Sus scrofa: one gene and its partners. The protein of the gene in region 3 interacts with the protein of the main gene of each other region in a biochemical or structural test. Links are inferred from orthologs where the notes say so. Each region holds a gene or a part of one and is shown on either strand. Other genes may lie near its edges. The genes, in order: ITGB3, ITGB1 and TLN1.

Region 1 (3,646 bases), on a different chromosome or scaffold from region 3:
GAGACAAAGTGATAGGCAAGAAACAGATTTTTTAAGATAGGATACTTGTAAGAGATGCATGCAGGTAGGCAAGGAAGCTCTGCCCCCAGGATCTCATGGGTTGCAGTTTTATAATCCAAGGGGAGTGGGGTGTTGGAAAGGCCCACCTCTTCCTTGTTGGGAGTAGTAGCTCCTCCTTAGTATCCAGTAAGGTGTGTATTCAAATCAGCTGAAGGGCGGTCCTCAAACTCTTGCCCTTGGTTTGAATCAGAATGCAGGCCTCATCCCTCCCCCACCCAACGACCTGAGGCAATTCTTGCACCTCCACTAGTCAAGCAAGCCTGCCTTGTTCTGGTGGCTTTCTTGAACTTATAGTGGTCTCCCAGCATCCCCCAGGTTTCCCTCTTTATCTGCGATCCCCTATTGGGACTTCTACAACCACCTGTGCCTACTCCATCCCTATCACTTTGTCTTTTAAAGACAGTGTAGCAGCTACTTCATCTAGGTAGCTTAAAGGTACACCTGTGTAAAGGCAGGAGTCTGAGCTGGATGATCTCATGAGTCCCCTACAAGGTCCAGGATCTTAGGGACATGTTCACAGTTCACCAGCATTCCCACTGTGGCTTGAGTTCCTTGGTGTCAGCCATATCCAAGTTGAGTACAACTAGGCAATGGATGAGTCCATAATCATTGACACCTTGTCTATGCAGGGCCTTGCCAGGGGATGAGGCAGATAAAGACACTATATAAGGTTCCCAGCCTTAGAGAGTTTTTGGTTTAGTTGAGATGTGGTACCAGTAACACAAGATGTGGTACCAGTAACACAAGATGCATGGTTAATGCTAACTGGGTAGAGAAGTTAGTAAGGGCTTTAGGTATTTTAAGGAGGAAAGCTCATCATGAACTGGGATGGAACTGGGAAGGCCTCCTGGAGAAGGTGGGACCTGAGCTGGGTCCTAAGGAAGGAGGAAGATTAGCAAAAAGCCCACTCCAGGTGGGAGGATGAAAGTGGGCCAGCTGAGTGGTAAGTGGAAGGGGGAGAGAGGTGAATGATTGGAAAGGAAGGTTGAGATCGCATGACAGAGGATTGCGAGCACCAAGCCAGGGAATTTGTCAGTAGCTGCAAAACAGAAGGAAGCTTCAAAACAATGTGGCCTGGCAGCACCTGGCCCACAGAAGCTGCTCTTGGTGTGAATGCATCAAATTCAAGTAAGAAGAAGGTGCTTAGTTTTGGCACCACCAGCCTGTACCTCTTCATTTATCTCTGGAGTTCACAACTTACTTACTTTGTGTTTGCGTCACGCTGATTATGGGTGAACAAGTTTAAGCCTTACCATGGTCTGAGCCACAGCTCATATTAGCTAAGACCTAAGAATTCAGGGATGTATGTGAAGAGACGTCTTAACTAACCTCCACACCCTCCCTTTTTACAGGATTATCCCTCTCTGGGGCTGATAACTGAGAAGCTATCCCAGAAAAACATCAATTTGATCTTTGCAGTGACAGAAGGTGTAGTTAGTCTTTACCAGGTGACTTTGCCCTCCTGGAGCGGGAGTGGGGCCTGTGATGGGTGGACCTGTCTCAGGGAACCAGTTCACAGTAGCTTCGGCCATGGTACCCAACCAGAAAAGATCCAGGAGCTGATAATTCCTCCTGGTGGCCTCTCTTCTCGAACCTTGAACCTAGCAGGGTGGGGGTATTGCTGTTTGCAGTGGTGGAGGGAAGTAATTTGGTGGGTGGGTGAGAGTGTGTGTGTATGTGTGTGAGAGAGAGGTTCTCTGTAATTTTTCTCAGGGCTGAAAAACTGCTAGATTTATTCCTAGCAGTGACAAGTAAAACATCCTCCCTTTTCCTCAATTTTCATTTCAAGACCCTCAGTCTGATTTGGGGAGGGCTTTTGGAGACCACTACCTTCATCCGTCATCCCCGGACATCTTTGTCTTCCTTTCTAGAACTACAGTGAACTGATCCCAGGGACCACAGTGGGGGTGCTGTCCTCCAATTCCAGCAATGTCCTCCAGCTCATTGTGGATGCTTATGGCGTAAGTGTCTTATGCCAGGAATAGGCCTGCTAAGAGTCCTTTTTACTTGGTGTTACCCTGGAGGGCTCAGATTTGAGAGTCCACCACGCAGCCTTCCCTGCCTTCCTTTTGTTCTTCTAGAGGCCATGTGATAACCAGCACTGGGAGGAAGGCAGCCTTCTGAGACAGAAACGGCTCAGAAAGGAGTGCCAGGGAGCCTTCGGAACAAAGGAGGAAGGGCTTAGGGAAGGTGGAAGGGAAAGTGGATGGGGCAGGTGAGGTACAGAGTGAGGGAGAGCTGGGCTCCAGCAATAGAGAAAGAAGGCAGCTGAACCACGGGGAATGCGAGGTCGATTAAAAATTATGTAGAAAGTGCTACTTTCCAAGGTGACCAGTGTTAGCACTCCAGTCTTGCATGACCCTGAGGCCTGCAGGAGGGCATAGCTGCTTTAGATTTTACCCAGATTCATCTAGACACAAGTGGAGAAAGAGCAGGTCCTGGGCAGGAAATAGAGCAGGAAATAGGGTCCCAGGGAAGCTCTGGCAGCTTCTAGGTGAACCTCAGCACCGGGCGTGACAGGTGAGTCTAGGACCACCTGGCAGGTTTTGCTTGAGATGGAATTGGCTCCTACTCATTTCATCTCAGCCCATTTTCTTATCTTCTCTTGCCCTTTTCTGATCAGAAAATCCGCTCTAAAGTGGAGCTCGAAGTGCGTGACCTCCCTGAGGAGCTGTCGTTATCCTTCAATGCCACCTGTCTCAACAACGAGGTCATCCCAGGCCTTAAGTCTTGTGTTGGACTCAAGATTGGAGACACGGTGAGGTGGGCTGGGTGGGGGCTAAAGCTGCAGCTTTAACCCTCCCTGTGCCCTGGAGTGTCCATGGGTACCCACCCATTCCTTCCCTGTACCTTCTTCCTGGACATCCTTACAAGTTAGATGTGGTAAAGCTGCCAGCCTTCTCCTCTGAGGCTTCTATTGCCTAATTCTTCTCTATCATTAAGTAACTTCAGGATTTTGAAAAACTTGTGTTTACATTACCTCTATTTATGCACCATTGATTGCAAATGAAAATATTTCTTACTTTCACCCTGCAACCAGTCTCCAGCACTGCACCCCCTGCAGTATATTTCTTTGCTTCACAGCATAAAATGACAGGGTCCTCTAAATACTTAGTGAGCACCGACTTTGTGCCAGGCATTGTTCTAGCTGCTGATGATTTGGCAGCAAATGGAATAGGCAAAAATACCCACCTTCATGGAATATCAGAATACAAATGTCCAGTCCCTCTGTGGCTTTCCTTTCTTAGTGGTTGGTTTTCTTCTGCTCCTGCCTTAGAGGAGAGGGGATGGTGAAGGGAGTGGGAAGAAAAAAGGGGGCTATCTATAGTTATATGATTTATATCATCTCTGTCTATATTTCTGTCATCATCTATCCATCCTTCCGTCTATACATTCTAGGTACGTGTGCACTCACCCTAGCAAGAGATAGTGGCCTGAAATGTATTCGATTGCACAAGCGATGAAATGTTATTCGATTGCACAAGCGATGAAATGTTAATGTGGCAATTGAACAGTAGACCCCGAACCTGTGGTTGGCTACTGTGTGGCATTGTGTAGTGCAAAACAGTGCTTTGTGTATCTTGAT
Region 2 (4,403 bases), on a different chromosome or scaffold from region 3:
ACCATGCTAGATACAGTTAACCTTGTCTTCTAAAGCCACAAACCAAAAATACAGCTTTAAGGCAGTTGACTTTTATTTTATATATAAAACTTAACTCTGTGTAAGATAATTAGTCTTAAAAAAAGATGAGAAATTCACAAAGTATAGCTTGGCTCCTTTTGCATACATCTTCTGAAAAAGATATACTACATTTTTTCACTCATCTATTGAAATATTCTAAGGCTGGGGTTTATAGGGATTGCACTTCCTTTAGCCTAGATACATACTCTTAATGTATGCAGTTTTCTACAGCTATAGATGCTGCTATCATTTCAGGTTCTAAAGACTAATATACTCTTCCCTACTCTCACGCCTGTCGGCGCATCCTCCCTACCCCAATACCCCCACCTGTGCAACAATATAAAAGGACAAAAACCCCACAACACATCACAGTCAGAGTAGACCTGCTAATACAACAAGACATTTACCTACGTGCACAATATGATCTTCTAGGAATCTACTCACAACCAGACAGATCCTACCTCTCCATCCAGAGTGGGGCAATCAGTCCCTATGAATCCTCTCAGATAACTAATTCAATTTCTTACACATTCAGAAATGTCCATTCTCAGAACTCAAAAGTTCTGAAACTTTTACCAGAGAGATGTGTCCTCTCATCATTCCAGCAGAGAACAAACCAGTGTCCTTGTGAAATAATTAAAAACATATATTTCCTTCAGATAGAATATTACCCCTTGATGATAGAAGCCACAATTTGGCAAGAAACCAAACAATAAAGCTACTAAGTGGCCATCATTCCATGAAAACTAGCACCACCTTAAACTGATTTTCACTATTTACAGCCCCAGAGTCCCTCCAGGAGTTAGGAATTCATCCACCCCATTAAAGAAATACATGTGATGCTAATTTGGGGCAGCTTTTAATTATACCGACCAGAAAACTGAGGAAAAAGCCACCTGAATCCAGTGATTTTCAGTATTGCTGATTCGATTCTTTTCACATGCAGGATGTTGACGGGATTATAAAACAATCTTAATATAGAGTATTTTTTAACATTCTTCTAAAAGGAATCAACATTACAAAAGCTTAAATGTTTAGGTCTGTGACCTCAACACAGATGACTTGATTTGGAGTTTGTTTTCTATTTACAGAAGTAAAGTATTAACCACATCCCCTATCTTTTAAACTAGCATTCTAACATCTTCCATTTTATACTGAATTTTAGGGTGAGTAAAATGTCTTGTCTCCTCAGACATCTATAACCAGAACACTGATTTGTTTCACGTGTTTTCTATTTATTAATCCTCTTCACTCATTTATTATTAAACAAGGGACTAAAATTATTTTCAAATATGAACATTACAGTAGGACTCTTAAATAAGCCCTGACCCTCCCTATGGCCTTGATATTCACAGACTTAGAATAGGTAACTTGCAACTAAAATCCCTTAATCATTTCTCAAGTGGTCTATTTATGCAACCTGTTGGAAAGGCTGCATGCAGTTGAAGAAAGATGCCTCATCAAAACATTTAGCATTGGTTATTTTTGTACCACCAAAACAATAAAAAATAACATTCCAGTAACTCTACTCCCCTAAATATTTATGTGGAACGCAGACTCCAAAACGCCTTACTAATGATGCTATCAACTACAGGCATACTTTAAAAAAAAAAAAAAACAAGAAGGAACGAAAAGGAGTTGATATTTATTGAGCATCTACTCTAAGCTAAGTGTTTTCCATTTTCCATTAGCTTTTCACTACACGGTACTTATGCAAGGTTACTTGTGGTTCAAACAACGTCTGCTAGACCCCATGGGTTCTCCTCACTACAGCTGGATGATCACCCAGGCTCCTGGTGTGTCGGTTTCAATTGGAAAACAGGGATAAAAACAGCATATACCTGGTCGGCTCAGATCCAGGGTTAAACGAGAAAATACAGGTGAAGTGTGTAGAGCTAAGCATGGCCCTCACTTATGCCGTTATTATAACAATTACGTTTTCTTATTAGTGTCGGTATTGCTCCCATTTTACAGCAGAGGAAATGGAACCTTAAAGAGTCTAATTTACTAGGGACCAAACCAACCAGCGCTAGATTTTGATCCAAAACACACATCCGATAAAACAAGAATTACTTGGGCATTAAATACTGGCATTCTTAAAAATACGACTTGTTATGAAGCCTAAGCAACCGCACGAATCAGGCAGCGGCTGGGGTTAGCCCTTCGCACCGCCGCCCACAACCAGCCTCGGGGGGAAAGGGGCCCACAGGACGCCCGACCCCGCGCCCCTTCTCCGAGCAACGCCGGAGAGCTGGAGCCGAGGCGGAGCTGTCCCCGCGCGGAGGCCCGGCACCCGCGCGACCCGCCGCGTAAGGCGGCGGGGCCGAGGCCGCTCCCAGGACGCCGGCCCGCGAAGGCCTGTCGGCGCCCAGCCGGCGGGGTGGCGCCCACAGCGGGTGTCCGAGCGGCGGATCCTGGCCCCGGGCCTCCGCAAGCGCGGCCTCCCGCGGACAGCGTCCTGGGCCGGCCCGCACCCTCCACCTCCCCCGGCCGGACAGTCGGAGAGCGAAGCCGGGAGCGGGCGCGGCCCGACTTCCTCCCCCGCCCGACGGCTGGAATCCGCCCCCAGGCCGCGGCCCCCACGCGCGCCCCGGGGCCCCGGGCCGGCAGCGCACCCAGCCCGCCGCCCGCCCGCGCCCACCTTCTCCCGCGGCGCCCGGCCCGCGCGGTCGGCTCCACCAGCGCTCCGCGACTCCCGCTCGGCCTGTCCGAGGGCTGGCGTGGCCTCCCCGGCTGCGGCGCGGGCGCGGCGGCGGCAGCTCCTCCTCCTTCGCGGGCGGGAGGAGGAGACTCGGCGACGCGGGGCCGCCTCCTGGCAGGAAACGACCCCCGCGGCACCGCCTCCTCCGCGCGGCAATCCAGCTCCTCAGGCCGCCGCCGCCGCCCTCTCCCTCCGGAAGCGCATTCCTGCCGGGCGGCGTCAGCCGCGCCCGCGCGGCGGGGGTGGGGGAGGGACGCGGGGTGGGAGGTGGAGGAGGGGCGGGGAGGGCGGCCGCTGGGACAAAGGAGCGGGCCTGCCGGGCGCCGGTGGTGGGGGTCTCTGCCGCAGCGTTCGCCGTGCCTCAGTTTCCTTAGCTGCCCAGGGAGGAAGGGTCTGCGCCGCCCAGCGCGCCTTAATCTCCTCCCGTGAGAAGTTCTGGAGCCTTCTTCCTGCCTTGTCTTAGGTGCTGCTTTCCTAAGGCCGCACGTCTGTCCTGCCCGGGACTGCCTGGTTTTGAACCTTGGAAGCCTTGCCTCCAGGGAGCCGCCGGAGACTCCCGCAAATCAAGACACTTAATCACGCACCTTGCAGGGCTTCCTGGGGCCCAAGACGTTTTCCTTTTGGAAGGGAAGGAGCTAAAGCCAGTATTTTTCTGGCGTGAGGATTTGCCTGACTTACGTCTTTGAGAAAGGGGGAGACTTAGGGAGGAGATGGGGACCCAGAAAGAGAAAAGTTTTAGAGAAAAAGTAAATTGGAGAGCAGCTTTTGTTAGGTTAATCTGGACGTCCGTTTATGGGGAACGCGGATGAGAAGGAAGTTTCCTCCTTGATACGGTTTCCGTTTATCCTCAGTTTTTTTAGTAGGTGGGCTGGGGGGCTGCAGAAGAAGGGACGTTTAAAACACGAGAAGAGAAACATTTCATTATGAGCAAGGCTGGGCACTTCTTAATCAGAGGAATGAAACCTGTGCCAACCGGCATCATACTGAAACCCAGTCACTTTGACTATGCTGCTGGCAGGCTGCCATCCTGTTAGCAGAAAATGTGCTTCGCCACGTGGTGAGCTGGAGCACCCTGTTGGGAATAGAACTCGAATTATGAGATTTGTGAAATGGAGAAGTAGTGTTTCATTTGGGGGAGATTAGAAGCCGCGATGCCCATTTAGCTGCCAACCTTAAAAGAAGCTCACACAATCCCATCTATGGAAACTTTGTTCATTGCTTACCAGCAAAATCAAATCTGTTGGTTAGGTAATCTCTGGGAACCTCTAAAGAAATGGGAATGATTTTTCCCGTTTAATAGATGACCAAAGTTAACGGACTAAATCATGTTTCCCTATTTGTGTAATCTGAAAGAGGATACAAATGGACTTGGTTTCAAAACAAACCAGACTCAGAAAATAATCCTATAGTTAAGGGTGGGGGAAGGGATAAATTAGGAGTTGGGGATTAATATGTACATACTACTATATACAAAACAGATGAACAACAATTTTCCTACTTATAGCACAGGGAGCTATATTCAATAACTTGTAGTAACCTACCTATAACGGAAAAGAATCCAAGAAAGAACATATATTTAACATGTAACATAACTGAATCACTTCATTGTGCCCCTGAGAACTAACACAACATCGTAAATCAA
Region 3 (3,646 bases):
CACCTCAGGGCTGATCTGCGCAGGAACGCTGGAGAACTCAGGGTTGGATGCAAAGGCGCTGAGATTGTCCACAGCCTCCAGCAGAGGGGCCGTTGCTGCTCGGCACTGGGCACGGTTCTCCTCTGTGAAGGCCCCGTCTAGTGCCTGCAGTGGGAGTGACAGGGGGGCCCTCAGGACAGACAGTAGGCAGAGGCGGTGAGGCCCGGGTCTCCCTCCAGGTTTTAACGAGTGTGGGGAGAGGCTGGTGATGACCAGCGTGGACAGGAAAGGCCTTGGGCTCAGGCGGGTGGGTTTGGCAAAAGGCCTCAGGGAATGACATCGGGTCCAGGGAGGGAAGCCTGGCCAGGTCAGGGACAGGCTGAGAATTCAAACACGGAACCTTGATGGTCTTGACAAGATTGGCTGTGCTGTTGGCCACCTCCTTGGCCGATTGTACGAATTGGCGCTTGGCAGTAGGATTGGCGGTACGAGCAGAAGCCAGGCGGCAGCTGTTACACAGAGCGGAGGTGTGTTTGGCCACAATGGTGGCTGCAGAGAGCACCTGAGGAGACAGAAACGGGGAAGAGCCATGATGAGGGCGGGAGGGAAGTGCCCACCCCAGGGAGGGGCCCCTTTAGCTTGGGGGGATGGAGAGCAATACCTTCGGAGTCTAATTAGGAAAGACAGAGTCACCAGAAAAGTCAAGATCTGGAAGGCAGAAGACGTATGGATGAACAGGGTGTGGGGGAAGGAAGATGAAAAGCTGACACGCTAATGGAGAAATCCTAACAGGCTCGGGAGGAGAGTGAGCTCAGACGTCCACAGGGAAGGGCCGAACCCGGCAGGAACCGAAGGGACAGTGAGAAACATGAGGAGACAATTAGCCAGAGAAGCTGCATGTGGAAAGTCAGAGGTGGGGCTCTGCCCTCTCCTTCCCTACGTGTCCTGCAGCAACCCGCGCCCCCCAAGGGGCTGGGCCGTCCTGGCTCGGCAGCCTTTCCCAGACTTGCCCACAGTACCTGTCCCCTTGGGTTACCTGGGCCTGGGTGCAGCCAGGCTCCCCCAAACTCTGACAGGCCATCTGAATTGCCTGGTTTGCTCGGGCAAACTGCGTGGGCTCCACCAGCCCTTGCTGTCCAGCTTGGCTGTTGGGGTCAGAGACACCAACCAGATAGGCAGCCTGGGGAGAGAGAAGAGGTGGGGTGAGGAGTAAGGCATAGTCCTCAGGTGGGACTTGAACAGCGACAGTGGGGACAAAGGGGAGTGGGGACAAGTTTAGTGGCCAGGGTTCTATGTGAGTGGAGGTATAGCAACAAGCTATACTTGCATTTCAAAAAAGAAAAAAACCTCTCCTGCTTTGTTAAATATGGTAACATTTCAGAAGATTAAAAAAGTTTTTTTTTTTGTGTGGTTTTTTTTTTGTCTTTTTGCCTTTTCCAGGGCTGCTCCCACGGCATATAGAGGTTCCCAGGCTAGGGGTTCAGTCAGAGGGGTAGCTGCCAGCCTACTCCAGAGCCACAGCAATGCAGGATCCAAGCCACGTCTGCAACCTACACTACAGCTCACGGTAACACCGAATCCTTAACCCACTGAGCAAGGCCAGGGATCGAACCCACAACCTCATGGTTCCTAGTCGGAACCACTGAGACATGAAGGGAACTCCAGTTTTTTTTTTGTTTTTTAAAAAGGAAAGTCACATAGTAAGGTTTTTATCAAAATTCTATTTAGGTGTGCATGTGTATGTATGCTGAGTCTTAAGGTGAAAAATACTGCTTACTGCAAGGGGCAGGGAAAAAAGTTCGAAAGCCCCTCCCCCCGCCCAAGTCTCTTTTAGAGACAGTTCTCAAACCACGGAGAGTGTTAGGCTAATTAACATTTACCGTAACTCCAAGGTTCAGAGATTTGGAAGGAGGGGAGGGATGGGTATAAGAGTCGCCAAAATAATTCTTGACTGGAAGATGATTAAAGGTTTGATTCTTACTTCACCCAACACATGGTAGCTTTGCTTTTTCCTCTTCATGCTTTTCCAGAAATAAGTCAAACCAAATAAGGAGGCCCACCCAACAGCCCAGGGCAGAGGGAGGCAGGGGAGGTTGGAAGAGCAGGATGACAGGCTCTCAGGGAAACAGTCTAGCTGATGAACTCTCAAGCCAGTTTAGGAATTCATATATTAAGGGAGTTCCCGTCGTGGCGCAGCAGAAACAAATCCGACTAGGAACCATGAGGTTGTGGGTTCGATCCCTGGCCTCGCTCAGTGGGTTAAGGATCCAGCATTGCCATGAGCTGTGGTATAGGTCGCAGACATGGCTCAGATCCAGCGTTGCTGTGGCTGTGGTGTGGGCCGGCGCTACAGCTCCGATTCCACCCCTAGCCTGGAAACCTCCATATGCTGCGGGTGCAGCCCTGAAAAGACCAAAAAAAAAAAATTCATATATCAATATAAAATACTCTCAGCACTAATAGATTATTTCATACCGTAGTGTAGAAAAAGGCAAAATTAAGTGGTGACTCAACTAACCAGGAATTTGGTCTCCGGTACCAAGTATTAATTACATGAAGTGATTTGCATATGCGCATCAGCACACACTAAGGAGGCCAGGGCTGGAGAAGGCCCAGTTGTGGGAGTGTGTGATCATAACCCAAAGCTCTGGGGCTCAGGGTTGATGGCGGGCCGAACTGATGGTGTTCTATGACTGCTGACAGATCTCTCTCCTTCAGGAGCGGAGAAGAACCCTGGTTACCCCAGAGTGGGCTTTGCAAGCGGAACTTTGGGCTTTCTGTGTGTGTGTGTGTGTGTGTGTGCGTGTGTGGAGGGGCAGGGAAGGCAGGAACTTTGGGCTTTCTGTGTGTGTGTGTGTGTGTGTGTGTGTGTGTGTGTGTGTGTGGAGGGGCAGGGAAGGCAGGAACTTTGGGCTTTCTGTCTGTGTGTGTGTGTGTGTGTGTGTGTGTGTGTGTGTGGAGGGGCAGGGAAGGCAGGAGCATTCCGGGGGCCCCTCCCAGGAGAATAACCTGTGCAGCAGCCTCGGTGAAGCCACAAAGGGCCTTGGAGGCTGTGGCGATGGCCTCTCCAAACTCCGGCAGGTTTCCGTTCTTGGCATTTTGGGAGATGCCAGTCATGGCCTCACCCAGTACCTGAGGGACAGAGGGTATCAGGAGAGTCAGATCCTGTCCTCTGAGGGGCAGAGCAGCCCCCCTGGTGAGTTCCATCTTCCTGCCATCTGCTCTCCTGGGTTCCTGGCTGGGCTTACCTTTGAGTTTTCCATGACACTGTCCAGGCAGCCAAAGTAGGACATGTCATTGATGGGCTGGACTGGGTTTTCTAGGAGTTCCCGGACCGTCTGTGGAGGGGGAGGGGGAGGTGAGATCCAAGACACCCTGTCACCCCCGAACCCAGAACACTTTCCTCAACCGCAACCCCATCTGGGCCTCCAGGGCCCACCTCCAGTTCCCGCAGGGCATTGTCACACTCTTTCTGGCCTGGCGCCTGCTGGGTACACATAGTGATGAGCTGGTTGATACTGTCGGTCACAGCCCTGGAGGAACAGAAAGCGGAATGGATGGGTGCACAGGTCATCATTTCTGTGTCTTGTACATGAGGGATGTCTCTAGCTATTTCTCTTTTGTCTGTAAGCACCCCTAAGCCAGGGACTTTTCATAAAATGTCCCC

Evidence for each region.
Region 1: the proteins of TLN1 (region 3) and ITGB3 form a complex in vitro, tested with the Homo sapiens proteins (6 studies listed by BioGRID and IntAct, with this or other methods). The link is inferred for Sus scrofa from reciprocal best matches to the Homo sapiens genes TLN1 and ITGB3.
Region 2: the proteins of TLN1 (region 3) and ITGB1 form a complex in vitro, tested with the Homo sapiens proteins (3 studies listed by BioGRID and IntAct, with this or other methods). The link is inferred for Sus scrofa from reciprocal best matches to the Homo sapiens genes TLN1 and ITGB1.

What each region holds. Positions count from the first base shown.
Region 1 is NC_010454.4:16,714,128-16,717,773, reverse strand, and holds part of ITGB3 (integrin beta-3 precursor), read left to right. Parts: intron 1-1,412; coding exon 1,413-1,508; intron 1,509-1,931; coding exon 1,932-2,021; intron 2,022-2,683; coding exon 2,684-2,818; intron 2,819-3,646. UniProt on the Homo sapiens protein: Integrin alpha-V/beta-3 (ITGAV:ITGB3) is a receptor for cytotactin, fibronectin, laminin, matrix metalloproteinase-2, osteopontin, osteomodulin, prothrombin, thrombospondin, vitronectin and von Willebrand factor.
Region 2 is NC_010452.4:56,127,668-56,132,070, forward strand, and holds the start of ITGB1 (integrin beta-1), read right to left. Parts: upstream 2,845-4,403; 5' UTR 2,702-2,844; intron 1-2,701.
Region 3 is NC_010443.5:236,426,793-236,430,438, forward strand, and holds part of TLN1 (talin-1), read right to left. Parts: intron 3,513-3,646; coding exon 3,419-3,512; intron 3,318-3,418; coding exon 3,228-3,317; intron 3,112-3,227; coding exon 2,989-3,111; intron 1,160-2,988; coding exon 1,016-1,159; intron 542-1,015; coding exon 380-541; intron 145-379; coding exon 4-144; intron 1-3. UniProt on the Homo sapiens protein: High molecular weight cytoskeletal protein concentrated at regions of cell-matrix and cell-cell contacts. Involved in connections of major cytoskeletal structures to the plasma membrane.